Linked DNA regions of Lonchura striata. The protein of the gene in region 1 interacts with the protein of each later gene in a pairwise test. Links are inferred from orthologs where the notes say so. Each region holds a gene or a part of one and is shown in the gene's direction. Other genes may lie near its edges.

Region 1 (7,418 bases):
GGGACATTACGTGTTACATGGTTACAGTTTTTCCCAATGCCTATTACCTATATTAAATGGTGCTTTTCTATATTTATATGGTACATTACGTGTGACATGGTTACAGTTTATCCCAATGCCCATTACCTATATTAAATGGTGATTTTCTATCTTTTATATGGTACATTACGTGTTACATGGTTACAGTTTTTCCCCAATGCCTATTACCTATATTAAATGGTGATTTTCTATCTTTTATATGGGACATTACGTGTTACATGGTTACAGTTTTTCCCAATGCCTATTACCTATATTAAATGGTGCTTTTCTATATTTATATGGTACATTACGTGTGACATGGTTACAGTTTATCCCAATGCCCATTACCTATATTAAATGGTGCTTTTCTATCTTTTATATGGTACATTACGTGTTACATGTTTACAGTTTTCCCCAGTGCCTATTACCTATATTAAATGGTGATTTTCTATCTTTTATATGGTACATTACGTGTTACATGGTTACAGTTTTTTCCCAATGCCTATTACCTATATTAAATGGTGATTTTCTATCTTTTATATGGTACATTACGTGTTACATGTTCACAGTTTTTCACAATGCCCATTACCTATATTAAATGGTGATTTTCTACTCTAAACCAATCCATGAGTGCCAGCATCACCAAGAACATGGAGGTGAGGAAGAAGAAAGAGGCAGGACAGGACAGGCCCAAATCCCAAATCCATCTGAAAACCTCTGACCCCCATGTACAAAACCAAAACCCTCCTGTACAGCATTAAATATTCTTCCCTCTACTTTGTGACTACTTCTACTATAATATCTAAACTTTTGTGACTCCTTGTTCTTCCTGCAAGGTTGGTAACTCATTCCATGGCTCAAACCCAAAATCACAGCTGTTTGCAGCTGCCTGCCAGGGTCTCAAATGCTTCTGACCTGGACCCAGAACATCCAAAAATGTCTGAGGGACATTCTGAGTTCCAACAACCTGGCACTTGCCAGGTTAATTTGCCCCCCTGCCTGCTCCATCCCGAGTCCTTGAGGCTTCCCTTGGCTCCTGCCAAGGCTCCATATGGGATCCCAGAAATACAGCCTGAGGGGAGGCAGATTTAGCTCCTCTCCGTCTCCCCGGGCCCATCCATTTGGAGCAATCCTCGCCTTCCCTTCCCCAGGAAGCTGGAAAAGGTCTCGGGAAGCTCTCTCAAGGCTCAGGGTTTGATTTATGGGGCAGAGCTGGAGCTGACATCGGCCACAGAGGGAAGAGATTTATTTCCAGGGGTTCCATCTGCCTCATTCCCAGAGCAGAACCGTGGCATGGAGCCTCAGTCTCCATCCCATAATGTCTGGACCCAGACCCTCCTGCTGCAGAAAGACACAAAAATTCATCCAAAGCGCTCTGATCTCTGTGCTGTCACAAATTTGGTCATGAAGCAGCCTGGAATTTCACTGGATAAATTTCATCATTTGACACATTAATCAACAATGTTTTACCTGAATTCTCAAAAAAGCAAATGAATGCAAAATAAACTATCTCAATTTATTGTCTTTTCCTATAGGGTAAAATAGAAAACAAATAAGAAGATATAAAACTACGCATTATCCCTGAATACATTCTAGTTGATATAAATTGTGTGAGTGGAGAAAAGAAAGTCTAATTCTATTTATTTTCTCTGACATTTTAACCTGACAGAAGCCCAGTGGAATAGTCAGAAGTTCACAGCCAAAATTCACCTCTGTTCGCTGGGAGCTCACCAGGAATGGGACTGGGAGAGGGAAAAATGATCCCAAAACCACAAGTGAATGCGGCAGCAGCAGCAGGAATTTGCTGGAATTGTCCATGGACAATTGAGGGAATGTCCACAGCAAAATCCTGTTTCGGAGAACTCCAAGGGAAAAAGGATTTCCCATTGGAAAACAGGTTTTTGTTTGTGGAATTCCCTGGTCCAGCCTCGCTCATGGCCTTGAGTGGTGCCCCAGCCACGTGTTTTCCCTGCTGTTCCACCTGGGATTTTATTTGATATGAGCTGGAATCCAAAATTGGGCAATCCTATTGGTAGCACAAGAATTCAGGATTTAAACAAAATTATTTCCTTCAAAACAAATATTTTATGGGGGGGAAAACAAACCCCCACGTTTTTTCCTTCTTTTGTGTGAGATGAACAATAATTTGTAAAAGCTCTGAAAATCAGCAAAATGGGATAAAATCCCAAACGTGCTTTTCCTAAAGGCTGGAATTTCTGCCTATTCCAGTGGGTTTCAGGTTAAAATGTCAGAGAAAATAAATAGAATTAGACTTTTTTTTCTCCACTCACACAATTTATATCAACTAGAATGTATTTAGGGATAATGTGTAGTTTTATATCTTTTTATTTGTTTTCAATTTTAGCCTGTAAGAAAAGAGAATAAATGGAGATATTAATAGTTTATTTTGCATTTATTTTGCTTTTTGAGAAGTCAGGTAAAACATTGTTGATTAATGTGTCAAATGATGAAATTTGTCCAGTGAAATTCCAGGGTGTTTCATGACCAAATTTGTAACAGCACAGAGATCAGAGTGCTTTGGATGAATTTCTTGTGAGACCCCCGGCTTGCTCTGGGGTCTCGTGTGCTGGAAAAGTCTCTCCTCCAGCCCTGCCCCCAAAGAAAGGCTCAGCAGTCTCTGTTGTTCAGTCTCAAGGCAGTTTATTGCAAGTTATCTCAAAGATTTTCTTCTGGGGCTGCTGTGGTTTGGTCAGAGCTCAGGCAGAGGCACACACACACCCTGACATCCTCTCTGGCTGCTGTCTTCTTCTTCTCTCCCCCAGCCCAGGGCTGCTGCTCTCTTTTATATTATATATTACGTATTACATGTTTATAGTTTCCCCCCAATACCTACTACCTATATTACAAAGTGTTTTTCTACTCTAAACCAATCTGTGAGTGCCAACATCACCAAGAACATGGAGGTGAGGAAAAAGAAGGAGGAAGAACAGGATCAGCCCACTTTCCTCCATCTTAGAACTTCTGACCCCCTTGTACAAAGTAAAAACCCCCTTGTACATGTGCTAAAACCCCCCTGTACAATACTAAGAATTTTCCCTTCTGTTTTGTAACTACTTTTACTGTCCCATCTAACCCTTTGTGACTGCTTGTTCCACCTCCAAAGTTGGTAACTCATCCCATGGCTCAAACCCAAAATCACAGCTGTTTGCAGCTGCCTGCCAGGGTCTCAAATGCTTCTGACCAAGGCCTGGAACCTCCAAAAATGTCTGAGGGACATTTTGAGTTCCAACAATTTCTGTCTCTTTCTTTGTAACAGCACAGACAGAGTGCTTTGGATGAATTTTTGTGTCTTTCTTTGTAACAGCACAGAGATCAGAGTGCTTTGGATGAATTTTTGTGTCTTTCTTTGTAACAGCACAGAGATCAGAGTGCTTTGGATGAATTTTTTTGTCTTTCTTTGTAACAGCACAGAGATCAGAGTGCTTTGGATGAATTTTTGTGTCTTTCTTTGTAACAGCACAGAGATCAGAGTGCTTTGGATGCATTTTTCTCTTTGTGCATTGGGAGGATTAATGGACAGGCCAAAATAAAGATTCGCTGTTCCCTTCCCATGGCTGGGGCAGTGCTGGTTCTGGGTTTCTGGGCTCCAGGGGCGAGAACCTCGTTTCACCCCGACAACAGCCCCGGGTGCCCTGCCACCGAATGTGACAGGGACACGGGGACAGGGACAGGGGGACACGGACATGGGGACAGGGGACACGGGGACAGGGACTAGGGGACAGGGACATGGGGACAGGGGACACAGGGGACAGGGACATGGGGACAGGGACATGGGGACAGGGACATCAGGACAGGGACATGGGGACAGGGACAGGGACACAGGGCCAGGGACTGGGGGACAGGGACATGGGGACAGGGACACGGGGACAGGGACACGGGGACAGAGACATGGGGACAGGGACATGGGGACACAGGGGACAGGGACATGGGGACACAGGGGACAGGGACATGGGGACAGGGACACGGGGACACAGGGGACAGGGACACAGGGGACACGGGGACACGGGGACAGGGACTGGGGGACAGGGACACGGGGACAGGGACACGGGGGACAGGGACATGGGGACACAGGGGACAGGGACTGGGGGACACGGGGGACACGGGGACAGGGACACGGGAGGCGCACGTAACACGGCGTACACGTGACACTGCGCACACGTGACGCGGGGAGCACACGTGAGGCGGGCGGAAGCGCGCGAGCGGACGCACGTGACGCGGGCGGCGCCACGTGACCGGCGGTGCCCCGCCCAGGCGCTCACGTGTCGCAGGCTCGGCCCGGCCATGGCGGGCGCGGTGGCGGCCGCGGGCTCGGCCGAGCAGTTCCACAAGCTGCTGCACTGCCCGGACAGGTGAGGGGACACCGCGGGGCTCGCCCTCCTGTGCGCCCTGCCGGCGCTCCCGGCCCGCTCTGCCGGCCCGCGGCGCCATCCCGGTGTCACCTCCCTCATTGCCATCCCGGGTTCCGCCTTCCGGTGTCCCCTCTTTGGGTCCCGTCCCTCGGTGCCATCCCGGTGTCCCATCCCGGTGTCCCATCCCGGTGTCCCATCCCGGTGTCCCATCCCGGTGTCCCGATCCCGCTGTCCCCATCCCGCTGTCCCGATCCCGGTGTCCCCTCTTTGGGTCCCATCCCGGTGTCCCCATCCCGCTGTCCCCATCCCGCTGTCCCAATCCCGGTGTCCCAATCCCGGTGTCCCATCCCGGTGTCCCATCCCGGTGTCCCCTCTTTGGGTCCCATCCCGCTGTCCCCATCCCGGTGTCCCCATCCCGGTGTCCCCATCCCGGTGTCCCATCCCGGTGTCCCCATCCCGGTGTCCCATCCCGGTGTCCCCTCCCGGCTCCCCGCAGGGCACAGCTCGGCAGGGGCCGGTGCTGCCGCAGCGCTCTGGGAAATCTGCGAGGGGAAGAGAAAAAAAACCCAAATGGAGAAAAACCGAGCCCCAAACTGCGCAAAGGCCGGGCTTGGGCTGGGTTCTGGCCTGGCTTAGGCCGGGCTTTGGCCGGGTTCTGGCCGGGCTTAGGCCGGGTTCTGGCTGGGCTTTGGCCGGGCTTAGGCCGGGTTCTGGCCGGGCTTAGGCCGGGTTCTGGCCGGGTTCTGGCCTGGCTTAGGCCGGGCTTTGGCCGGGTTCTGGCCGGGCTTTGGCCGGGTTCTGGCTGGGCTTAGGCCGGGTTCTGGCCGGGTTCTGGCCGGGCTTAGGCCGGGTTCTGGCCTGGCTTTGGCCGGGTTCTGGCCGGGCTTTGTCTCGGGCTTAGGCCGAGTTCTGGCCTGGCTTTGGCCGGGTTCTGGCCGGGCTTTGTCTCGGGCTTAGGCCGGGTTCTGGCCTGTCTTAGGCCAGGTTCTGGCCGGGCTTTGTCTTGGGTTTAGGCTGGATTTAGTCTCGGGTTTAGGCTCGGACTTTCCCAGCTCCCTGTTCCCCTGGCTCAGCAGGCGGAGGTGCCGCCCTGCAGCAGCTCCTGCCGCAGGGAATTTGGGGCCAAGTCGGCTGGAAAATCCTATAAACCAGAGCTGCCCTGCCAGCTGGGATTGGCCTCCAGCCACAGAAGGTGTCACCAAAACCACCAGGACACTGCAGTGGGAACAGCAGGGAAATTTCAGTGGGAACGGCAGTGACACTTCAGTGGGAACAGCAGTGAAATTTCTGTGGGAACAGCAGGGAAATTTCAGTGGGAGCAGCAGGGAAATTTCAGTGGGAACAGCAGGGAAATTTCAGTGGGAGCAGCAGGGAAATTTCAGTGGGAACAGCAGGGAAATTTCAGTGGGAACGGCAGGGAAATTTCAGTGGGAACAGCAGTGACACTTCACTGGGGACAGCAGGGAAATTTCAGTGGGAACAGCAGTGGCACTTCAGTGGGAGCAGCAACATTCGGGTGTTCTCTGACACAGAAGTGGCCCTGAATTATTCATCTCCTGCCAGGTTCTCATTAATCTGGATTTGTGCTCTGTGATTAATGGCAGGGCTCTGCTTTTCCACAATCCCAGCCCGCTCTGGGACCTGCAAACCCATCCAGGGACACCCTGCACCATGCCAGGCTGCTCCAGCCCCATCCAGCCTGTCCTGAGCAATCCCACTGCTTTTATTCCATATTCCATGCACATCTTTAACTTTGGGAGGGAAGAGCTGCAGTAAGCAGCTCTGCAATTACAGACTTACAGGTGATTGAAAGAGTGGTGGAATAGCAGCATCAGTTCTTAGAGACAGCAGAAGGAAATGCTGTTAAATGATGGTGCTGGGAAAAAGGAACAGAATTTCTTCCAGACTTGCAGCAGGACTTTTCCTCCTGGAATTGTCCTTCAGCTGGGTTATTTTGTGGGTTTATTGCAGAAGAAACTCATGTGCCCAAAGGAAAATGGCTTCAGGAACAAACACAATATTTTAGGGTTATCTAAAAAAGACCCACCAGTAATTTTCTCATTGCCTTTGTCACAGAACATAATTTGGTTTTCTCTCTGAAGGAGTTGATTATTTTATCCATGTTCTTGGACTTAAGGTGAACTGATAGTCCTGATAAACCTTCCTCTGAAAACAGCATTTGTAATTACATATGAGTTTCACAGGATTTCTTGTTTCAGAAAATTATCATTTCTTGCATTGAGTTATCAGTAAGTTTGTGTTGTAGAATCACTGTAAATCTTGATATTTAAAGAGAAAATTGGGCATTTGTCATAACCTTTTTGTCCCTGCCCTGTTTAATAGTGAAGCTCTTTTTTTTTAACCTTGAGTGAATGCAGGGAACACTTTGTTTAGAATTACTTAAACGCTTCATTTTGCTAAGTCTTTATTTTTTATCTTTCTTAATGTTTTCAAGTACTCTGTTTTTTTTAAGGTGAAATTGAAGTGCTCAGCCAGCAGTTCAGTTGCAAAATCTGAATTGTTCTGTGAATGAATTTTAAAAACACAAAACCAAAACAACTCCAAAACCAACCCCTCGTGCAAATGAATTTAAAATATGTTCTTCCTGAATATAAAAATGAATATATTGCAGCTGGATGTTGTTAAGGAACGACCAGACTCTGGTGGGAAGAGGATGAAATAATCCTGTGATGATTTGTCCTCTGTCCTGAGGTCCATCCCTGGGCCCAGGTGTGTCCTGCTGTGGGCACAGACTTAAACTGAGGATTAGGGGGAAAAAAAGAGAAGTTGTGTTGTTTTTCTGCCAGAATTTTGTAGAATTTCACTGGAAAACCAAGTTTGTGAAAGCATCCAGGGTGTGTGATCAGGTCACAGGAACTGCTCCAGCAGCGACATTGTGCTGCCCATGCAGCTGTTACAATGAATTTCCATCATTTAGGAATAAAATACGTAAAGTATTTCTATAAAATATATAAAATATAAATATATATAAAGTACATGAAGGCTGCTGTGGCATGGGTAACTTGATTT
Region 2 (7,482 bases), on another chromosome or scaffold:
GCCATAAAATGATGTAGAGGAACGTAGGTGGAAAAAGACAAATATTATGGAACAACCAACATCTGGCACAGCTGTCTTGCTCTGTGACCGTGGGAAAGTCCCTGCTCTGGTAAACAAGCTGTAAGTGGCAAGCACATAATTAATCAGTAATCAGTAAAGGGCTCGAAAATACTTGAAAGAAGCCCTCCGTGGTAACACAATGCACAGCAATAGCTGTAGAAAAAAAGTGATCTCTGAGATTATTCTGGGGCCTGTGACTGGGAGAAGCATTTAATTTAGAGCTTTTTCACTCGTGCTGTTTTAGAAACAGTCCAGACTGTCAGCTCAGAGGAAGTAATGATCTAAAAGCATATAATATTTTTAACGTTCTTCCTCCCCTTCCTTCTCTGATTTTGCCATTCCAAAGGCAGAGCAGCTTCTGGTTTTTAAGCAGCTTCAGAGCCCCCTCTGCTGGAATGCTGCTGGCAGCCAGGCCCAGCCGTGGCAGCAGGAAGCTCCGGGGCACACCTGCTTCTCCCGGCCGAGAACGGCTGCTGCAGGCGTTTTACAGGAGTTCCAGGTGATTCATGTCTCTGCTGGGGGGGGAGATGCATCTGGGCCCATATATATCCTGCCATGCTGTCCTACAGCTGGGTAATGGTGATGGTGTTCCATCCTCTTTGTTTTCAAAGCTGAGAACACAACAAGAAACTTTTAGGAGAGACAAGAACTGCCTGGGATTAATGAGATTACTCTTACATCTGCTGAAAACAGTGCAAGACCCTTTCTTGCATCCTTTGAAGATCGGATCCCTCATCCCTGGCAGTGTCCCAGGCCAGGCTGGACAGGGCTTGGAGCAACCTGGGGACAGTGAAAGATGTCCCTGCCGTGGCAGGGGGTGGCATGGATGGGCTTTAAGGTCCTTCCAACCCAAACCATTGAAGGATTCTCCAGTTCTGTTTACAGAGTTTCTCCTCCTTGCTCCCTTCTGTGGCTGTGGAGTCCAAGATGTAGAATAAGGAAGTTTTGGCATGGGACAAGCAGGCTCAGCCTGGAGCCTGCTCAGCTCCCCAGGAAGGATGTGTCTACCTAAACAAGAAGGGAAGCAGGAAGGAAAGAAGAAACAGCACATCTGATAGCAAGGAAAAGGGGCTCTTTGAGTCAGGTATGCTTCAGAAAATGCCCCAAAGGTCTACTCCAGATTTCCTGTGTAACTTCTAACAAGTCGCTGACTTTCTGTACAATGCCCTTAAGTCCCTAAAATAGGGATTGCACTTCCTTTTCTTAGTTGATGCTGTGTGACAGCATTGAACTATTAGGCCTTATAAAGTTCTTTTAAAACAAATGGGCTGACTGGGAACACAGAGTCACAGACTGGAGAGTCTTTGTGAATATCTTTACTGATGGTTTTATATTAAATGGCATCAGACAATCTGAATAAATTCAAGAATTAAGTGTGTTCTGCAGGTGCTGTTTACAGGAGTGAAGCTTCTCTGCTGAAAGCTGCAGCTTTGGAAGGATGTGGACAATTCAGGTGGAAAACCACGGAATATCAACTACTGTAAAACAACCTGATCCTCATCAGGAACTGCAATGGCAGGACAAAAAGAACTGGGTTCAGACTGATAGAGAGAAGGATTCAATGGGATATTTCCTCTCTGTGGGGGTGGGCAGGCCCTGGCACAGTTGCCCAGAGCAGCCCCTGGATCCCTGGCAGTGCACAAGGCCAGGCTGGATGGGGCTTGGAGCAGCCTGGGACAGTGGAAGGTGTCCCTGCCATGCCAGGGTGGCACTGGGGGGTCTTTAAGGCCCGTTCCAACCCAAACCCTTCTGGGGTTCTGTGATTATGCACAAAACCAGTACAGTATTAAGTACACAGTAAAAGTCAGAAAGGAATTATTTTTTTTTCTCAAGTTACACAAAAAAGGGGCGCTGATTCTGGTAGAAATTTGGATTCCAGTTCAGGAAAGATTTAGCAGCTTGGTGAGGGGAAAAAAAAAGGTGTGAGGGTCTGTAGTGGTCAAAAAAAGTCCTGATGGCACTTGCATGTAGATAGTGATGCGAGAATGTCTGTAAAATGGGGAAACCACAAATCAAGAAATAAAATTGTTAGTTTACACATTAGGCTTGACAGGTGGGTGAAGTGATGAGCTGTTAAGGACAAATCATTCTATTTTCAATTTGGTAAAAGATGCGGGGAAGCTTCAGTGAAATGCAGATGCCCTGGGCAGTTGGAGGTGGGAAGAGCGAGTTCCACCAGAGTGTGTCTTCTCCCATCTGCCAGGAGCTTCTGGCTCCTGTCACAAGCTGCCACTTGCCACTCTACTATCTTTTGGACTTGGGAAAGCAAGTTTCTGCACAAAGGACATGGAATCATTCTCATTTAGCAGGCCAAGCTAGGCAAAAATAGCAAATGGTGAGGTGATGATGGACTGGTTTAAAATCAGGGCTGGTGCAGTGGGGAATTGATACTAAATTTCTGCCTCCCGGGGTATGGGTGGGCTCTTCCCTCTCTTAGAAAAGCCTTTTTATAATGATCCTGGCACAAAGAGCCAGCATTAAAATCAAATTTGGTGATGAACAAAAGTGGGAGGCTTCAGTAATATGAGGGAACTGAGTATCTTGGAGATTGGATGACTGAAGAGTGAGAAATAGAGATGAGATTAAATGTGGCAGCAGAGAGTGCAAGGATGTGAATTTAGGGACAAGGAGGAGACTGTGGAGGATACCAAGAGTATTTTATTGGAAATTAGTAAGGAAAGGAAACTGAGATTTAGTGGTTGATAAAAGATAGTGATAAGCCATCATGAAGCTGTGAAACAGCATGTCAAAAAGTGGTTCCAAGATCAATAATGATGCTGTTGAATGAGAGAGAAATTCAAACTGGAACAGGGACAAAAAGCTACCAGCTTGATACCACAAATACAAGGCTTGTATTAAGAAGGGAAAGTGGCTGTGTCTGTGGATCCCTTTTCCTATTTCCGTGTCTACCTGGTATGATACTCTAAGAGCTTTTTACTACTTCGACAGTGAAAATAAATAAAAATTTTAAATTACATTACAGATAATGTTGTCATGTTTTGACTAAGTCCCAAATTCCTCCTGATGTGTAGGTTCAGATTCCTGCACTTGATCACACTTTTGAGCAATTTCCCTTTCCAGCCTAGTTTTCTTCTCCGGGTTCCGTGACCCCTTTGACATTGCTGCTGTGCCGTTTGTGAGCAGAGCCCTGCCAGGCGTTTGGCAGATTGAGAAGCAGCAGCTGAAACATCTGCTCCAGGTGGGTTTCCCAGCAGCAGGGCGGCCCTGACCACAACAGGGAGTCGGGTTGGGCTTCTTTTCAAAACAACAAACCCCTTCTGCCGTTCCTTCGTGGGAAGGACACTGAAAATTCCATCCTGCAGGTGGGACAGACACAAGCTGGGAGGGGGCAGGCTGGGGGTTGCTTTAAAAGATTTGATTCATTTAAACACAGCCTGTGGCAGAGGGGAGAACGAGATGATCTTTAAGGTCCCTTCCAAGCCAAAACATTCACGATTCAGAGAATTCCTGGCTTAGGCTACATGATGACAGCACACTGTGCTGTGTGAACAGTTACCCGGTAGTTGCATCAGACGCAGTCCAGGATGACTTTTTAATTATAATTTATTAGTTAATTTTAAGAGAACATTTATTCTCGTTAGCCCTGCGGCCTGGTTCGCAGAGGTGTTTCAGTGCAGGTGCAGCACGGGCAGAACAAAATTCCATTTTTCCTTTCGGCCCCCGTGGGCGGAGCCGCGCCGCCGTCCGTCACTCTGACTGACAGCCGCGTGGGGGGCGTGGTCTGTGAGGCCCCGCCTCCTGACGGCCGGGGGGCGTGGCTCCGCCGCGGCGCGTCGGACCCCGTGATTGACAGCCGGCTCCGCGGGGAGGCGGGGCGGGCGGCGCGGCTGCTCGCGCGCCCATTGGCCAGCAGCGCCGTCGGGCGGGCGCCGCGTCGGCGCTGATTGGCGGGCGGCGGCGGGTGCCGCTGTGATTGGCAGGAGGCGGCGGGTGCGCGGCGGCCGCCGAGCGGTTTGTTTTGCGGGCGGCGGCGGCGCGGCCGGCCCGCACGGACCGGGCACCGGGCAGCACCGGGCCGCACCGGGCTCCGGGCCGCACCGGGCACCGGGCCGCACCGCAGCGCCCGCCCGCCGCTCCCGGAGCGCGGCCGCCGGCAGCAGGCGGCGGCGCGGGGCCTGGGAATGTGGCGGCGGCGGCGGCTGTGAGCCCTCCCCTCGGCCCGGCCGCCATGGAGCCGCGGCGGTGACAGCGCCGTTCCGCAGCGCCCGCCGCGAGCGGGGCCGCCGCCCGCGGACATGGGTGAGCAGCGGCGGAGAAGCCCCGGGGGCCGGGGCCGCGTCACGGGCCGGGGCCGCTGCGGGCGGGACGGGGCGCGGGGCTCGGCCGGGCCCCGCTCCGGGCGCCGCCGGGGGGGAGCGGTGCATTTGCTAGGATTTGGCCGAAGTGGCAAAAGTCGGGTCTTGCCGAAGGTGCGGTGCCCCGCCGAGCGCGGGGCTCTCCGCTCCCGACGCGGCTCTTACGGGACGGGAGGTGTGCTCAGGCTGACTTGGAGACATTTCTAGTGTTACGTGCAGCTTGGGAGTCCATCGCGAAAGATTTGCCTTTATGGAACCCCCCCCGAGTTCTCATTTGCCATTCTTAGCCCAGACGGCCACATGTAAAAACAAGCAACGGAGTTGGAAGAACTCTTTTTCAAGAGGAAAAAGTTCTTATGAGGAGCTGCCATGACTGAATTTGATTGATTAAGTAAAATTAATTTGGATTTGAAGTGTATGTCCTGTATAAAGAACTGCTTAGGGAGGGGGTCTTGTGCTTCCTAATTTCTTTTTCAGCTTAAAGAGAGGTGCTAGAATTAAACTTTTGATTGCTCTAAACCAGAACTTAACTTATACTTGCTTATTGGCAAGGAAATTCCTGCTTTTCTAAGTCTGGAGTTTCATGGTTTCATGGGCTACAACTTAAACGTTTCTTCCCAACAACCAAGTTTAGTTTTCTGAGACTCTCCTTCATTTAGTCTGTATGCATAATTAGCTTTTATACTTTAAATTCAAAAAGCGTTGCAAATGTTATTCTACAACTACTTCAATATCTCTTTACTCTGTTTTGATTTGTAAATACAACAAATTCATGCAAATCCATCACTAGATTTCTCTGCTACAAAGAGGAATAGTGTAATGCACTCTGTTTAGAGTAGCAGGGTCCTTCTATATTAAAATGGTTTAGAAGTAGGAACTTGGATTTCCATGAAAGTGTCTTCCAATAGCAATTGGACCTGTGTTTGTAAACATGTGAGGGCAGAATGAAAAAATACAATTTCATGGACCGTTCCACCATAATCTGGTTCCATAACCCACCTGAAGGACGCGTGGGGTGATTGGTGGCAGAGTTTGCAGGAGCTCCAGTGGTTCAGCCACTCACCTGGAGCGGTTCCTGGGGTTTGTTTCCCTCTGGACACTCCTTGGCAGGCTGGAGAAGGGGGATCTGCGGCCCTGAGCTGTGCGGGGTGAGCTCTGCGGGTTTGGGGGCGCAGGCCCTGCTCCCTGCAGCCTTCCCTGCTCCGCTGGCTTTTCCTGCCTGTGTCACTTCCTTCCCTTGGCTCACCCAGCGACAGTGCGGAGGGAGCGTGGCTGAGCCCGTGGGCAGGACAGCCTCAAACCCCACAGACCAGGACAGCCTCAAACCCCACAGCCCAGGACAGCCTCAAACCCCACAGCCCAGGACAGCCTCAAACCCCACAGCCCAGGATAGTTTCAAACCCCACAGCCTGGGACAGCCTCAAACCCCACACCCAGGATAGTTTCAAACCCCACAGCCCGGGACAGCCTCAAACCCCACAGCCCAGGATAGTTTCAAACCCCACAGCCCAGGACAGCCTCAAACCCCACAGCCCAGGACAGCCTCAAACCCCACAGCCCAGGACAGCCTCAAACCCCACAGCTCAGGATAGTTTCAAACCCCACAGCCCAGGAATGCCTCAAACCCCACAGCCCAGGATAGTTTCAAACCCCACAGCTCAGGATAGTTTCAAACCCCACAGCCCAGGACAGCCTCAAACCCCACAGCCCAGGCCTTTCCCCTGACCTGTGAATGGAACAGGGACCCTCAATGCATCCTGCGAGCATAAGCCTCGTAGAGCTCTCTGTTTTTTTCTCTCACTCTACAAGCCAGGTCCTTTGGGATTTCCTGAAGCTTGCACACAGCAGCATTTTGGTACCACTAAAACTGCCCATGGCAAAGGACTCAAAATGAAACTCTTTTGAAGGCTTTTTTGAGGCCTTTAACATAGACACAATTTGTCTAAAATTTCCTTATTGTTCCCGGATCTGCCAATCACTCGCCCAAACCAGCTTTGCTGTTGTGGTGGTAGATAACAAATACACAGATGTGGTCACTTTCTCTTTTACACCAAAGTGGCATCATGTATCCCACTGTGACACCATATAAAACATGATCCAGATAAGGGGGGTTCAGACATATGCAGATACTTTTGCGCTTCTAACTTTGTGATTATTTTTTTCCTTTTTCTAAACTGTTTCCATTTCTGACTTGTTCAGACCTGTGTAATAAACCACGGATTGGTTGAAGTAAATGCTTTGTGGAGAGGAACAACTTTCTCTGTGAGCAGCAGTTCGCTTTTATCGAAGTTATAAAAATCCTTGAGTGTAGTTTTTAAAACATGAAAAGCATTTCCTGGACAACATCTTTCCCGCACAAAGCAGAACTGTGTTTCCCAGACCGACTGGAGACCAGGCAAAACAGGGTCTCTCAGTACTCCAAAAATTGCTTCATTTTCATTTGTAGCAGCTTCTGCATTGTGCAATTAATGTAATGCTGCTCCACGTGCTGCTCCAAGTCTGTCTATGAGAATCCTCTGTTGGGATGGAACTAAAGAAGTACTCATACTTCTCAGCATTGAATCCATCACTCTGCTGTCCTCACCAGATACAATTTTTCCCTGCACAAGCTCAGATCAGGTTTGACTTTATCCTTTTAAGAGATAAATATTCTGTCATGTCCTACCTCATCAACATAGGGGTGAATTACAGGATGTATGGTTTAGTAGTAGGGAACAAATAGCTTAGTGTAAAACTACTAGAAAAGGTATAATAAGATTCAAACTCACCTGAAGTTGTTCCATGCCCTTTGTTAGAACATTGACTGTTCCCATATTATGAAGATAAATAATATTTTGGTGTTAGAATGACAGCAGTGAGTAAGATACAGACCTTGCAGGGCACTAACTGGGGTAGAACACCTGCAGCCAGCCATTGCAACCATTGATCTTTGTTTTCCAGTAATGATACTGTTTAGAGGAGAATTCTTCTTCCCAGACATATTCTTTGATGGACTTGATTTCTTGTCATCAGCCCTCAGTTATAAACTGCTTTCTTAGCTCGTTTGCTTCTTGCCCAAAGGAGCTCTGCCAAGACAAGCTCTTCTTCATCCTCCTGGTATCTGGCC
Region 3 (7,644 bases), on another chromosome or scaffold:
TATAGAGATGGAGTTTATTGTAGGTCTGCATGCAAGTCCTCTGCTCTTTGAAATAATCTGGTCTCATTTGTCCAGCTTGCAACACCTTTCCAGCCATCATAAGGTCTCATCTGGCAATTTTTCTTCTGCCAGTGACAGCTCACATCTACATCACTCCCTGCAGAAGGAAGGAGTTCATATAAAATTCATAAACTATTCACATGGATTCTCTTTCATATTACTCAAGCTTGATGCAGGCCTCTGAAGGCTGTTCTGAGAATAAAAGCAGGTCACAGTCTTTATCAGAGACATGCAAACTCACATTTCAGAGTTGTTTCTTCCATTATTTCAAATGTTTACTCACATGTACAATTAGAGAGTGAAGCATTTAATGCTGAATTCTAGCACAGTTTTCTACTATCTTTAACATAAAATGGAAGTACTCTTTCTCTCCTCTATACCTAGTTATTTGTGCTAGCCCTTAACATACCACCACCTGCAACTGGTTTCAAACACCCTTTAAGTAGATTTCCTCAGGTGATGATGGCCAGCAAGTTGAAGTGTATTTACAGGAATGCAATAGGAGAAGAACAACCTCACTATGTTGCTAGACATGTGTGCTGAGGGTGTGTGCTTGACTGGATTCCCTGTGCAATGGAAATGGGAAAATACCTCACAGTCCTAGGGGAACAGAAAGACCAAAGCATCTGAGTAAGCTTCACTGCTCTGATTTAGTTTAGAAGCCAACTAAGACAGAGAAGGAGATCAAAGAGAAAATCTAGAGCTGTTGTCATTGTCTTGGGAGAATCAACATAATTCACAGGTCAAGAAAAACAAATTTCCTTTGTATTTTAATTTGTGTACTAACATGCCACAACAGAACCCTGTGCTCTATGACATTTCAGGATTGAAATACAGGAACAGTTTTTCCACTGATATAAAACTATACCAAATAATTTATATAATTTTTTTTTTGAGATCTGCTTCAAGTTTAAGTAACAGAAAACAAATATGATCCTATATGTTTCACTTTAACATAATATGACACACTCTTAGATAATTTAATGACAATAGAAGGTTTGAATTGATTTTCAGACATCCTGGTTCCTTAGAAAGGAACTGATGTAAAACATGAAACAAAAGAAGGAAAACTATGAAAAGCAATTTCATATCTTGTATTTATGTGGAACAGGTGAGGAGCTCCCAGCTGTTTTCAACATAGAGCCCACCTCAGTAAAGGTTGTGTAAAACACAGCCATAAAGTTACCAAGAGGGGTGAGAGCCCCTGGGCCACCAGCTGCAATGTGAAGCTTTCCCATCTGTCTACAGTCTTCCAAGTGCACATTCCCCTGTCAGCCTTCTGCCACTCAAGGCAAAGGCTGGAAAAAACTGTCTGCTACCCAAGGAGAAGTCAACAGGAGCCCTCAGAATGGCTACAGGAATCTATATCTTCTGCAAAGGATAGTCCCAAATTCCTAGCTAGTCTGGATGTATGGAGAGAGCTTGTGTAAATGACGCTGAACTGTCCACAGGGCTCTGCTCAGGCTTGCTGGACTTGAAGAAAAACACTTTTCTGCAGGGCTGATGGCAGAAAGCATTGTCATGCAGTGCCCAGGATCATCCTGGCTAGAGCTGCTTGGGAGGATGTCATTGCTGAAGCTGTGAAATCAATGCAAAAGTGGTTTGTGGCTTCCTCATGCTTAATTATCACTGGCAGCCATCTGAACCTGGAGTGCTAACACAGCTAATCCTGAAACAAAACCACTCCAGGAAGGGATCATGAAAGAACCATCAGCTTCTTCCATCTTCTCCTGTATCCTTCTTACCCTGGCTGATTTCATGACTTAAGCTACATTTACATCTCTTTACATTGACATTTACATTTATCAATTTATGGAAGTGGGACATGAGGAGGTGAAGGAAGTGAAACAAAGAATCATCCTTTTTTGTCCTATGTCCAAGTCCTTGGTCATAACCTACAAGGTTTGGCAGCAATAGAGAAAAAAACACACAACCCAAATCTGACAGCTGAAAAATAAAACCATCATGAGACAACAGCCAGAAATTCAGAGCAGTTCACAATACTAGCATGGTTTGTGGCTAAAGAACACAAGACAGAACTCTTGATTTGGAGCAGATCCATGCATGGGAAGAAATTCTTGTCTCACATACTTTGGCTGGTGGCTGTTGGGGGTTGCTTAGCCAAGACATGACAAAGCTGCAGTGAGATTCAGGTGCAGGCATGCCCTTCCACTGAAAGGGTTCCAGTAGAGTGAACAGCTTGTGCTGTGGAGTACAAAGGGTTGTAAATTCCCTGGCTTTTCACACAGCCTGTCATTAAGGAGCTGTAGGGTCAAAGGTATGTTTGCTCTTGGTGCTGGTTATCATTGGGAGAGTCACACTGATACAGTGGTACAACCTTCCTTGACGCAGGAGCCGCTGTCGCTGAGGCCACTGCCAGCATGGTTTCCTGCAGATGGCTGCTGGACGTGAGCAGCTTGGGACAAGCAAGGTACTCCTTCAGGCAGTCCCTTGTCCCAGCCTTGGCCAGCCCTGCTCTCTACCAGCACTCCACACTGAGACAAAGAAACTACAGCAGTGAAAGTTTCGTATGTGACTGCCGTTTGGTGAGCTGAAATCAAACCAGGAAGCAAAATATCTCACGCTGAGTTCAATTATATATGGAGGACTTCTCATCTGTGTGGGTGATGACAGCTGACTGTCCCCAGTGCCACTGAACATTTTTTATTATTGGGCTGTTTGCACAAAAGCAAAAGGTGCACTGGAAGCCTGTCTATATCATAATAATGAGCTATTTGAATAATGAGTAATTTGATATATATAATTGTACAATATCTAGTAACAGAAAAGTCTCAAGCTATTCATGAGTCCCGTTTACTGAGAAAGGAAGGATATACTATTTCAGTGAGTAACCCATAGAGAGAATTTGAGATAACATTACTACTATATCAATATCTTAGGAAATGCAGCCTCTGAGGGGATACATTATACTGTTATAAAATACTCTTTGGTGTGTTTTCACCACCCAGGGGTGATGTGCCCCACGGGCTACCTGATACCTACAGCGTAAGAAGGGTTTGTCACCTTCCACCTCTCAGCTTGGAAGAGGACTGGTGAGACAGCAGCGAGCTGCCCATTCACCTGTGCTTCTCCCCCAGGTCTTGCAGGCAGCTGGGACCTTTGTGTTTGGGGAAGTTTGACTCCAGAACAGGAAGAAATGAGCCACTGCTGGCTGCAGTTCCTCTACCAGAAGCAAGGTGTATATATAAGGCATGGAGTGGGGACAGGCATGGAGCAGAAATGTGATGTCTGCCACATGTCAAACACCATTCCCCAGCTGTCCTGTGGAACCCCGATGCCCACTGTGTCTGGGGGGCTGTGCAGTGCCTCACCTGATAACTGATCTTCCTGCCTGGTGTGAACATTTCAGTGGAATTGATGGCTGCCCTCATCAAGCAGAGGAGGGTACTTGGGTTACTGGGACCAGTTTTTCTGCCACAGTTGTAATACAGGCATGTTGTATCCATCTCATCCTTGGAAGTTGTATCAGGCCTGGGATGAAGAAAAGGAGATGATAGGAAGATTTCCTCATGTTTGAGTTACCCCACAAGCACATCAGCAATCAAGTGCAAACACGTGAAAGAGATCATATATGCAATTATGCACATTAGTAGGTGTTCTCTGTTTAGACACAATTTGTAATTTAAACAAAAGCTTAGAATTTAAGAAAACCAGATGGACCCTGGGTACAAATGCATTATGCTACTCCTCAGCATACATCCACTTCAATCTGTGCTTTGAAAGGAGGCATGCCCACCTTGAGTGTTGCCGTGGGGGGCACGCACAGGCACCAGCCCAATCCCACAGGCTCGGTGATTAACACAGCATCACTCCGTTTCTATGAGACCACCAGCAGGTGTAACTCTGTCGGCTTTAAGGCAGCCACTCTCGCGGCCGCGGCGCCTGAGCAGAGGCGGTGCTCCCGGGCACCTCCAGGTGCTCCAAGCAAATTTCCCTGTCAGTCCTGCCACGATGCTCGGGGGTGCGCCGCTCCCAGGAGCATCCCGAGCCCCGTGAGCGGGGCGGCGGGCCGAGCATCGGTCGCAGCACGGCGGCCCTGCCCCCGGAGAGCGCCGGGAGCGGGACCGGGAGCGGGACCGGGAGCGGGACCGGAGCGGGACCGGAGCGGGAGCGGGACCGGAGCGGGAGCGGGACCGGGAGCGGGACCGGGAGCGGGAGCGGAGCGGGAGCGGGACCGGGAGCGGGAGCGGAGCGGGAGCGGCTGCACGGCGGTGGCGGAGGCAGCGCAGGGGCGGTGATCCCGCCTGGAGCGGGCCATGGAGGCAGCCGCGGACAGCCCCCGGTTCGCCTACATCTTGGAGCTGCTGAAGCGGGACAAGGTAGGGACGGCGAGCGGCGCCGCGACACGGCGGGGCGGGCAGAGACGGCTCCCTTCGCAAGTGCTTTGTCGGACTTTTTCAGGGGAATGTGGGGGCACGAGTGACTCGTCTTTACTAATGTATTCTGGAGATTCGACTAATGCTTGCCACACACTTCCGAGCCATCAGGGGAAAATTTCAAAGATAATTTCCACGCGAAGTGTCCCCCAGGCCAGCACAGCTGGGCGGGCTCTGTCGCGTTTGCAGCCCACCCCTGCTCCGTGCGGGAATGCCCCGCTCCAGCCGGGAATGGGATGCGCCCTGCCCGGGGGGCTGCTGCTGCTAGCCGCCGGCTGCGGGCAACGCTGGAGAGAGAACTGTCTTCCCCAGGCACCGATTCAGAGATGGTAAGTATTTTGAGGAAAACTTGCACGCGCATTTCCTAGGGGAAAAGAAAAAAGTAAAAGGACGAAATCCAACTTTTGTACTGTTGATTTGCTGATATGTGTGATAACCAAGGAGCACCAAAGGTTCAGGCTTAGTTTTTTTTTTTGTTTTTTTTTTTTTTTTGTTTTGTTTTTTTTTTTTTTTTTTTGTTTGTTTGTTTTTTTTTTTTCCCCAAAAAATGAAACAGCCAAAATATTTTTAAACTTAAAAATAATTGTGGAAAACAATAGGGCTGTCAGAAATATTGCTTGTTCCAGACTCATCCTGATGGCTTTCCAGCATATCTCCAAAGGCTGCATTCACAGCCAGTTCTTTGTGCACATCCCTCTCCCTCTCCCTCTCCTCCACTACCTCTTCTAAATGTCCTGGAAGAATCTTTAGACCAGGTGAATGAGGAGCTTCCTGGGTGATTTTCTGCTTCTCCTTGCCTGAGTACAATTATGCCAGGACTTTAAAGGAAAATTCAGTCTTGTTCTCTCCATTTATACACCAAAGAAAATCATGAAGTGTTTCAGGACAGATATACTCCTTGTGCCTGGAATGTCCCTGTAATGGGGTGCTACATCTGTCTCTTATCCCACAGTCAAGCAATTCGTACTTAATTCAGACACCCTCTGCAAGAGCATATGGCTCGATAGGCAGCAGAGTTGGCACAGTAGTGTGAAATATGCATGTTTATTACAAACAGTGCTGTTGTTTATACATAGACAATGACATTGCCAAGTCCCATCATCACAGACATTTGACGTACATGAAGAAAAGGGGAACAACACCAGTTGTGTGACTGCCACAGACTTCCCATAGTGGCGATCACTGCTTGAGCTTCTCGCTCTGAGACCTATTGCTCTCCACATCTTCCTTTTGCCTTTTTTGAACCTTCAGACCAGGGCTTTAGATTACAGCCTCTTTGTAATTTATTGATGTTATCCAGCAGCTTGGAGGTGTTCTGCTGGGATAATTAAACTCCCTTCTCAGATGACATAAATCATGCCAGCAAAAGGACTCTTCTGCATGGTAAACTGTATTTGCTTTGGGTCAGGGTATTGCTATTTAGAGGTTTCAGCACTCCAGTCTTCCTGTTCCCACTTCCCACTATCAAAGCTTTTTCAATAAAGCCTGGAAGCATTAACATTCTTTGAGTTAACTGCTAAGCATCTGGCTTTCACTGAACAAAGACCTATTAGAAGATCAGGATGCAATAAGACACTTGTTCCCCCACCTCTGAATATGCAGGGTCCCTGCAGGTATGATGCATCAGCTCTTCAACCCTGGGCACGTGACCCCTCTTGGCAAGCATGCTATTTTTCCACTTAGCTGCCAACCTCTGTCAGACCTCTCAAACAGGGCAAATCATTATATATCACTTTTCCCCGGGGGAATGTCACTTCAAAAACCTGTTATCTCTTTTAATCATCTGTACTCATTATTGTCCTGTGACCCGCCTTCACACATGCGACTTGCACATAGTATCTAGAACAGAAAATGCTTGAATGCTAGAAATGCTAGAACAGAAAATGTAGCACTTTTAGTTCCATTAAAACACTCTTTGTGTAATCCATATACCCACAACATCTGTTTAGGCTCACTACAATACTCTCTGAGATACTCTGGGCCTCCATGGCACCTGTCACAAATGTCACAGTAGCATCTGAGAGCTCCAAAATACCCCTGAGAGGCAGATTAACAACTAACTGCATTTTGTATCAGAGGCACTGGTGCAGAAGGAGATTGTGTGACTTTCTTTCAGAACTCTGAAATCTCAGTTCAAACCACAGCAAGGACACTCATCTGTCTCAAAATGATGTATCATTCCAGAGATAAACTCAGGCTTCTTCCAATCCTGCCTCTTCCCCACCCCTCCCCCAAATTATTCCTTTTATTTACTTTTGCAGTAGTCAAAACACACACACTTCTAACCCAGCTATTCACCCAAACTCCAGTTTATATTGTTTTACTTTCATAGGTGTGTGTTTTCTTCTTTTGAAATGCATATGATTCTCCTGAAGTATTAACCCCAAAGAATTTTTAGATATTATAAAGAAACAATCATATCTGATGGGCTAAATTATACCAATACTTGCCATCTGTTCCATAAAGCCTTTTGGAACATTTTCTGTAAGCAGAATACAATCAATAAGCTGATATAAACCAATGTGAGTTTCAGAGGGAAACTAACAACACTGTCCCTGAGACCCCTTATTCAATTGAAGTAAGGAGGATTTTTGCATGCTCTATTTTTTAATCAGGGTCATCACTCTCTTTTTTTTTCCTCACTTGTTCCCTTTGTTTTACCATCTATTCCTGCTCTCCACATGGTTTGCAGAAACTGATAGTTTGTGGTTTATAAGAAACAGCTTTAAAAGTTATTATCTAGAAGAAGCATTTAGAGAAATAGACACTACTGAAAACAAGCCCTAAACCCCATATGATATGAACATGAGAAATATATAAAAACTATTTTAAGAGCATTTCTAATTCTGCATGCTCTCTACCTGCAACCTGCATGTGACACTGATTTCTGGACCTGACTTCTGCCTGGTTTCATGTAATGATTAATATAAGATTCTCTTGTGGTAGCATTTCAGCTTTTGTCCAGGTGACAAGAAGAGGTAGAGCTATACAGGGTTTCAAACTGAAATCACGATAAGGAGCTGGAGAGGAGAAATGCAACATTTGCTAGTGGCTGTGGTGGCTGGCAGGTGGCTCTGGGCTCACTGACTCAGCCAAACTGGAGCTCTGTTCCTCATGCATGCTAAAGAAGATAAGGCTTTACATATTTCTTGCTTATGTGAAAGAAAGTCCTTCTTTAGGGTTTGGG
Region 4 (7,890 bases), on another chromosome or scaffold:
AGTAATGTTCCCTAGGAACCCATCCTGCTGGCTCAGCATTCCAAAGACAACATCCAGTTAAACCCAAAACCTTTCCTGCTTTCAGTTCTCTATCCACATTGAAAACAAACTGGATTGTCAGTGAAGCTGGTTTTATTCTGCATAGGCATTACCCCACTGTAAAAGCTCCCAGCTGGGTCTGCAAGGTGCTTCACTAACCATTTTGCATTGCATTGATATCAAAATCTGGATTCATGGAGGTCATTCCAATGATAAAATACATTAAAAAGGTAAATAAAAGGTGATTAATTTACATTTCACAGATGAGAGCAGAATTCTTCTATTAGAAAGATGATGTAGCTATTGGCTATCTACTTTACAAAAATTTTTTATAAGACTTCATATTAATTATCAGTATAAAATCAATGTTCAATAGTAATAAATTTCCTGCATGGAAGCTAAATTGCATAAGAGAAAAGCCAGCTCAAAGCATGCCACAGGGTACATTAGAAATAGGTTGAAACCAAACCTTTTTATGCCTTTGAGAAATCCTGCTGCCTGCAAAGGGACAGGTCACACACCTCTTGCTGGGCTGCTGTCTAGCAAGAGCACCTCAATGCCAGGATACAGCATCAGGGATAAACCAGGTGTTTGGTCACTACCCGTGATCAGGCCAAATCTTCATAATTAATTGACTCATTAAGGAACTGTAGAGTAGAACACACCTGAAAAACAGGATGTCATCTGGAGGGATCTGGGCAAGTTTAAGTGGGTTGAGGGGAATCTTATGTGGTTTAACAATTCCAAGTGCAGGATGCTGTTTCTGGCTTGAGGCAGCGCCAGGTATCACCACAGTTTGGGGAATGAACAGACAGAGAGCTGCCCTGCCGGGAAGGACTTGAGGGTGCTGGTGGGTGAGAGGCTGGACATGACCCAGCAATGTGCACTCACAGCCCAGAAATCCAGTTGTATCCTGGGCTGTCTCAAAAGCAGCGTGGCCAGCAGGGTGAGGGAGGGGATTCCTTCCTTCTGTCTGCTCTGGTGAGACCCCACCTGGAGAGCTGCATCCAGCTCTGGGATCCTCAGCACAAAAAGGACATCAATCTGTTTGAGTAAGTCCAGAGCAGGCCACCAAGCTGATTCAAGGGAGGGAGAGCCTCTCCTATGAGAAAAAAAGCTGAGAGAATTGGGATTGTTCAGCCTAGAGAAGAGATATCTTAGGGATAACCTGATTTTGGCCTACCAGTACCTCAAGGGAGCCTACAAGGCAAAAAAAGAGAGACCTCTTACAGTGATCCTTAGTGACAGGACAAGGGAGAATGGCTTCAATATGAAAGAGTAGGTTTAGGTTAAGTATTAGGAAAAAATTCTTCCCTGTGAGGATGGTGAGGCACTGGAAAAGCTTGCCCAGAGAAGCTTTGGATGGACCATCCTTGGATGTGTTCAAGGCCAGGTTGGACGGGGCTTTGAGCAACCTGGTTTCATGGAAGGTGTGCCTGGCCATGGCAGGGAAATTAGAATTAGCCAATCTTTAACATAGACCATTCTATGATTCTGCGACTTTTTAATCAGTACTTCAGTATATGAACCATGTCATGCAATGATTTGAGTAATGGACAAGCTGATATTTAGTAATGGTAGTAAGAGTTTTTAAAGAAGAAAAACACTTACTTAATCTCTCTGGGTTTAGGTGACTGCCTTCCTCTGGAAGAGGAGGTTCAGTTCAGAGAAGGTGGTAACCTGATGTCTCTCTGTGCTCCTTCCAGCAGCATTACTTATAGGCCAAGATCAGATTTAGAATGATTTAGACTGTGTTTTCTTCATGTGTTTGCTCTCCTAATGATGCAAAAAATTTCTGGTGAAGTTTCCAAAGTCTTTTAATGTGAGTTTTGGGAATTGTGCAGCCCTACCCACAAAGTGCCTCTTCTACTAGGAAAGTTTTATTACATTAGTATTGTTCTTGGGATTATAAATAGCAGCAAGTTGAAAAAGGTTGGTTTTGTCACAGTATTTGTAGATCAAGTGTGCAGCTCTGTAAAACTGGATGATTTATTTTAATGGAAAAATATTTGCTGGAAATTGGAAAGCAATAGAACTGCTATTCCTCCACTTCTACTGGTCTAAATGTTGTCATCATGATGGGGTGAGCAGTGCTGCAGAGTGTGGTGTATTGCTGGAAGACAGGATAACATCGCCCCCAAGTTCTGGTAGAAAGTTACAAGGATTTGGGATGCACAGGCTTCAGAGCTGCAGAAAAGCAGCAGACTGACCCTTGAGCTCTGCACAGACAAAATCATATAGTCCCATAGGAGATTTCAAGAATTCAAGTATTGTTTCCGTTCCAACTCTCAGCCTCCAAAATGCCAATTTTCTCCACATAGGCAAAGCAAAGCTCAGGAGCAATTTGGTGGTAGCTCCAGAGGCATGGAATAGGGATGCCTGAGCCACTGGCTCTGCCAGCACAGGGCTCCCATGATGGGCTGGGTGGAACTGTCCACCCTCCACAGCCACTGCAGCTCACCAGAAATAGCACAACTGTTTCCCCTGAGTGTTACCTCTTCTACCAGACCCACTACAACAAAACTCTGGCTTGTCTTGCCTGACATACTGCAGTGTGTCCAAAGCACTAGATGGTCCTGCTGCTTTGTCTTTTGGCAGAATGAAGATGCCAGTCAATCACAAGGTTGTGTGTGTTGGAGAGACAGAGGAGCAGGGGGTTGGACACGCGGGGGGCAGGGTCATCTGAGGGGTGTGCAGCTGTTCCTCTGACAGCCTCTGCAGTGCACACCTATCTCCAGCTTTGCTTCCCTCAAGGCATCCAGACTAGCTGGGAAATCCTATTTCTGTGGCTGTGCAGCACAGCATGCTGTGTAGGATAGTCCATCATCCATCTCAGTAACAACAGCATCCCATGCTGTGTACAGGCTCCTAAAATGTCATCAACACCACCCTAACCAAACTGAGACATGCTGAAGTACTTCAAAGTGAGCATTTTGCACTCTTTTGTACAAGTGCTTATACAATGCATGCTCTGGGAAACACTAGTTGGACTTCGGTACCACCGTTGTGCTTTAAAGGCAGCAATTTTGTACTAGATGTGTAATTCAATCATTGTTTTGAAGGGTAAATTTATAATCTCCATGTAACTGAAACTTTAGAGGTTTCTGTCACCTAAGAACATAATGCACAGTCTTATTAGAAAATTAAGAAAAAACTAAATTTAAGAAACACTCTTTATTCCTTCATCATCCTTGCCATCAGAAAAGATAAATAAGCACTTTTGGAACTATCCTAAGGAGCCCCCCTTTAGCACACAACTTCACAAAGGCTGAGTGCCCCCAATTAGGTGCCAAGGTCACATCCTTGGCCTTGACAGGGCCTATCACACACCTGCAATTTCTCCTTAAATTAATCCATATCCACTTGCAGGTGTTAACGATTTTGAAGAGAATCTAAACACTCAGCATCTCACAATTTTCTGTTTTGTCAGTAATTTGAGTCTGTACCTTTGAAGTTACTGCTATAATTTCAAGAATGGTCGACTAAACTATTCCCTCTAAAGATTGCTTTCATTTCACCAGTATTTAATTATTTATTTTCTCTAATTGCTTATGGGTTGGGTTGCTTATGGTTGCCTTGGGTGAAAGTAATTTTTGGTGCTTATCCTTTTATAAGCATTTTCTTTTCTAGAAGTTGTTTTGTAGTTTGATACAGCCCTCACACCACAGTGGGTGGTTGCATTTTGGAAATCCCAGTGACACTTGTGAAATATTGTCATGCAAATGCCAAAAAAAAAAAAAAAAGAAAAAAAGGAAGAATTATTAATTTCCTTTATGTACTAATTTGATTGGTTTTTACTGAATTAATATGCCATTTTGGTTGAGTACCATGCTCTTTCTCTTTCATTTATATGCAAAGAAAACACATTTCAAATAGCATAACTTCCTTTTAAAACCTATTTCATACAGCTTAGAGTTTTCAAGGGTCAATGTGATGTTTTGTGGTCCCTAACTTCCCCGTTTTGGTTGCCACGCTATTTTTTGTTTCCATCCAGATTTGCAGAGGGCTGGGGAACATTCCTCCAAAAGCATCTTTCTGCTCGTTGTTCTCGCCCCCGCCGCGGCGGTGGTGCTGTGAGCAGGGGAAGGGAAGGCAGCTGCTGCTGCGGGAGTGCCGGGGACCGCATGGCCGGGCTGGCCGGGGTGTCAAGGGACGTGGGGTTTTGAGATGTGCTTTTGCAGCCGTCTCACTGCAAACCCCTCGGGACGTCCTCGTTTTCCACTTAAAATGCAAAAAGAACTCTCCCGACGGGGGATCTCCTGCTTAGCTCCATCCGTCCGCCGCACCGTGCGCTCGCACTAAGTGGAGAGGCGGCTGAGAGCGGGGAAGCGCTCGTTTGCCTCCGGGCTTCCTCCCGTGGAGTTTTTCCAGCGGAGTTAAGAGTTGCCGGGAAGCCGGGGAGGTCTCCCGTCCACCGCTCTCCTTCGGGTTCCCCGGTCAGGAGGGGGGTTTCGGGCGGCTAACGCGAACTCGGAGCATCTCGGCGCTCACCCCCGCGGCGAGCGCCCGGCAGGTGCTCCCGGCGCGGCGGGGTCCGGCGGCCCCGACGGGCGGCGCGGGGGAGCCGGGGCGGCCGCAGCGCCGGGCCGGGGCGGGAGCGAACAAAGCGCTGCCGAGGGCGTGCTGCCCCGACGGGGCCGGCGCGGTGCCGCCCGCAGCGGGGGCGGGGTGACCGGGGCACCCGGCCCCCCTTCCCCACACACACACACACGCACGCACAGACACACAGACACAGACACACATCCCCCGCACACGCACACCGCGCCCGGGCACACGCCGAGACGCACAGGCGGCCGCTGGTGCGCGGCGAGAGGATGCGGCGGCTGCGCCCCTGGGCGCTGGTGCTGGGCGGGCTCCTGTGTGCCTGGGCCGGGGCCGGGGCCGGGGCCGGGGCGGCAATGCGGAGCTACCCGCACAGCGCGGTGCTGGACGGCGCGGGCGCCTACCGCCTGCGCTGGGGCCGCCGCGGCAGCGCCCTCGCCCTCCGCCTGGAGGTGCGCACCCGCGGCTACGTGGGCTTCGGGCTCTCGGCCAGCGGCAGCATGGCCTCAGCCGACATCGTGGTGGGGGGCGTGGAGAGGGGCCAGCCCTACCTGCAGGTAAGGCCCTGCTCCTTCCCCTCGACCGCCGAGCCGGGTCCTCCTCGTCCGCCCACCTTCCCCGCGCTGTCCTTCTGTCGGGACGCCCTCCTTTCCCTGCCTCACGTTTCTTCTGCAGCTTTCTTGCCCTGCATCCCCGTACCTCTTTACTTCTTCCTTCCACCCTTCGGGTTACCCCTATTCTTCTGCGTTCCTTTCCCCTGGAGGAGATACTTCTTTTCTATCCTCTCCTTGCCAACCTTCTCTCTAAACTTCTACATAGACTTCGTTAGAGGTGTCAGATTTCTTTGCTCTTTATCCAGAAGATGTGATAGTCCTATTCTCTCTCCTTTGGGCACTCTCTCCTGCCTGCCCGCTGAGCCTAAACCCGCTGAGGAAAGGGATGGGAGGGCATAATCTCTCCCAGGGAGGTGTGGCACCTTTCCCCTCCTCGCCCTGCCGACAGCTGATGGAGCTTGGCCGTCCTGCTGCCGCCTGAGCCTGCTCTTTCTAATCCCGGCGGCATGAGGGCAACATCCCGCCAGCTTCCAAGCCTGTTGAGGTCCCCTTCTGCTGCACACAGCCGGTGCTGCTCTTGTTCTTGGTGTTCCTCCTCTCCTCACCTGAAAGTGTTTTAACCCAGATATTGGAAAGGACTTACATAGTAACCACTGGGAGGACTCCTGGTACATGTCCTTGGTCTGGTGGAGCAACCTCAGAGGTTGCCCGGGTCTATTGGGTATAATTTTCTTGGGATGTTTCTGTAGTAGTCTAGATATTGTCAGGGCTACATCTGGGAACAGGAGTGTGGAACAGAGGCCTTGCTGGTGCTTACAGCAAGTCATCCTCTCCCAGAGGCACTGGTGGCTGGTGGAGTAGGAGCCATGAGAGGGGAGGGTGCCCACACCTTTAGCCCCTCTCATCAACCTGAGATCCAGCTGGCAGGAGGTGCTCTGGGACGGGGGGAGCAGGGACAGCTTGTCTCACTGGTGACCGAAAGGGCAATCAGGCCTGGAATGACATGTTGTCACCCCCAGGTGCTTGAATAATAACTCAGAGATGCAGTTTAAGAGCAGAGTGGTTGTTAGAGTATGGTCTAGGAGAAGTCATCCGTCTTCATTATGTTAGAGCTAGTTGATCTTTGAAGCTGCTGCTTAAATTTTAAGAGGTTTTCCCATAAGAATATGGATTTTCAATTTTCAGTGAATAACAATTCACCATAAGAAAACAAAATGCATAATATGATCTCCCTACTATTTGTCAAGGTTTTATAAAATCAAAAATTTTCCAGAAAAATCGATCTTTTAGTATTAATGTTTTCCTTTAAAATTTTCTTTTGCTTTTTCTTTCCTCCATTCATTTGCTGTATGAAGTTTAGGCAAATATTTGTCTTCGTTAAGTGCGGACCAGTGATTTTCAGAATATTGCTTTCTCCATATTTCAAAATGAAGATAATTTTTCTTGAAGCATAAATAAAAGACTAATAATAGTAAAAAAACCCACTCTAGGCTGCTCATTCAGCAGTGAGCTCTTCACTCACAGAATGAAAGGCTTTCTGAAAAGCTTTGCAATTCAGAAGACACACCTATTAACCATTAAAAGAAACCCCAGCTTTTTTTTTCTGGTTTGTTCACAGATCCTGTTAGGGTAAAAAAAGTCTTTTTGAGAGGCATCCAAATCTAGTGTAAAGACATCCAATGGTGGATGATCCATCACTTCCCTTGATAGTTTGTGTCAATAAGAAGTCTCTGCTGTTCCTGATTGCCAGGATTAGTTTGTCTTGACTTAGCTTTCAGCTATGTATTTTCTCTACAATATTAAAAGCTCTACTCCCCCTGCATACCGCCTTCATAAAGTTATTTATATGCTGCAATCGAGACAATCAAGTCACTGCTCCATTTTCTTTTTTGTTAAATAAATAGATTGAACTCTTTAGCATCACAGGACGTTTTCCCCACCACTTGAAGCACTTTTGTGGCTCTTTCAGCACCCTTCACAGATTTTCAACATCCTTAAAAATGGCCCCATGCTAACTCTGTTCTTCCACAGGTTTTGTTCACCAACATTCTGTTACAATTAGAAAAAGACTGTAGCAAATGCCTGCCCATAGAAGCCTACTGGTATTTTTCCTGAAACACTAATTTAGCACATAAATTGTTATGCTAAGAGCTATGAGTTATTTTGTTGCGCTTTTGAGTAGGTAAGAAATATTTTTGGTACTCTTTCTTGCCACTTGAGGCTTGCTCCATCCCCATTCCTTTTTCAATTCTAGGTAGCATGGTTTCTTTCAAAACTGAACCGAGGTTTTTTAAAAGTTGCTCAGTTAAAATTTTTCCATACTTGCACCAACAAGGAATAGCCAGAAACAAAGATGATAAACAAAATTTGTCCACAGGCTTTTTCTGGTCAGGCAGCAGGGATTGCTAGAAAATGAACAAATTGTTCTAGGATGTTGTTTCAATAATATCCAATTCTTCCCTTTACTAGACAAATAAATACAGTTAATATTTTAAAAATACATTCTGTGTTAGGTGTATACCATCATAATTTAGATTATTTACTACTGAAAAAGATTTTTTCATAGATAGCACCCTTGAAAGTATGTGGTTTTATGCCTAGCTGAACTCCATGAAATATGCACACCACATAATGAATGAACTTACTTTTCTTTTTGGTTTTAGAAATATGTTTTTATTCCATGACCATCCGTTGGAAAATGTGCATGGTGGTCTAAACTCTTAGAGAGGTCATTTTTTGGTTTCTTTGAAAGATT

Evidence for each region.
Region 2: the proteins of GLRX3 (region 1) and MAP3K3 interact in a two-hybrid assay, tested with the Homo sapiens proteins (2 studies listed by BioGRID and IntAct). The link is inferred for Lonchura striata from reciprocal best matches to the Homo sapiens genes GLRX3 and MAP3K3.
Region 3: the proteins of GLRX3 (region 1) and TRIM36 interact in binary tests that used the Homo sapiens proteins (3 or more experiments, as listed by UniProt). The two-hybrid records come from large-scale screens. The link is inferred for Lonchura striata from reciprocal best matches to the Homo sapiens genes GLRX3 and TRIM36.
Region 4: the proteins of GLRX3 (region 1) and MOXD1 interact in binary tests that used the Homo sapiens proteins (3 or more experiments, as listed by UniProt). The link is inferred for Lonchura striata from reciprocal best matches to the Homo sapiens genes GLRX3 and MOXD1.

What each region holds. Positions count from the first base shown.
Region 1 is NC_134609.1:31,596,677-31,604,094, forward strand, and holds the start of GLRX3 (glutaredoxin-3), read left to right. Parts: upstream 1-4,267; 5' UTR 4,268-4,320; coding exon 4,321-4,388; intron 4,389-7,418. UniProt on the Homo sapiens protein: Together with BOLA2, acts as a cytosolic iron-sulfur (Fe-S) cluster assembly factor that facilitates [2Fe-2S] cluster insertion into a subset of cytosolic proteins.
Region 2 is NC_134627.1:8,990,211-8,997,692, reverse strand, and holds the start of MAP3K3 (mitogen-activated protein kinase kinase kinase 3), read left to right. Parts: upstream 1-4,194; 5' UTR 4,195-4,316; coding exon 4,317-4,320; intron 4,321-7,482. UniProt on the Homo sapiens protein: Component of a protein kinase signal transduction cascade. Mediates activation of the NF-kappa-B, AP1 and DDIT3 transcriptional regulators.
Region 3 is NC_134642.1:60,471,315-60,478,958, reverse strand, and holds the start of TRIM36 (E3 ubiquitin-protein ligase TRIM36), read left to right. Parts: upstream 1-4,615; 5' UTR 4,616-4,693; coding exon 4,694-4,786; intron 4,787-7,644. UniProt on the Homo sapiens protein: E3 ubiquitin-protein ligase which mediates ubiquitination and subsequent proteasomal degradation of target proteins. Involved in chromosome segregation and cell cycle regulation. May play a role in the acrosome reaction and fertilization.
Region 4 is NC_134605.1:59,392,270-59,400,159, forward strand, and holds the start of MOXD1 (DBH-like monooxygenase protein 1), read left to right. Parts: upstream 1-4,626; 5' UTR 4,627-4,853; coding exon 4,854-5,138; exon of another isoform or gene 5,139-5,597; intron 5,598-7,890.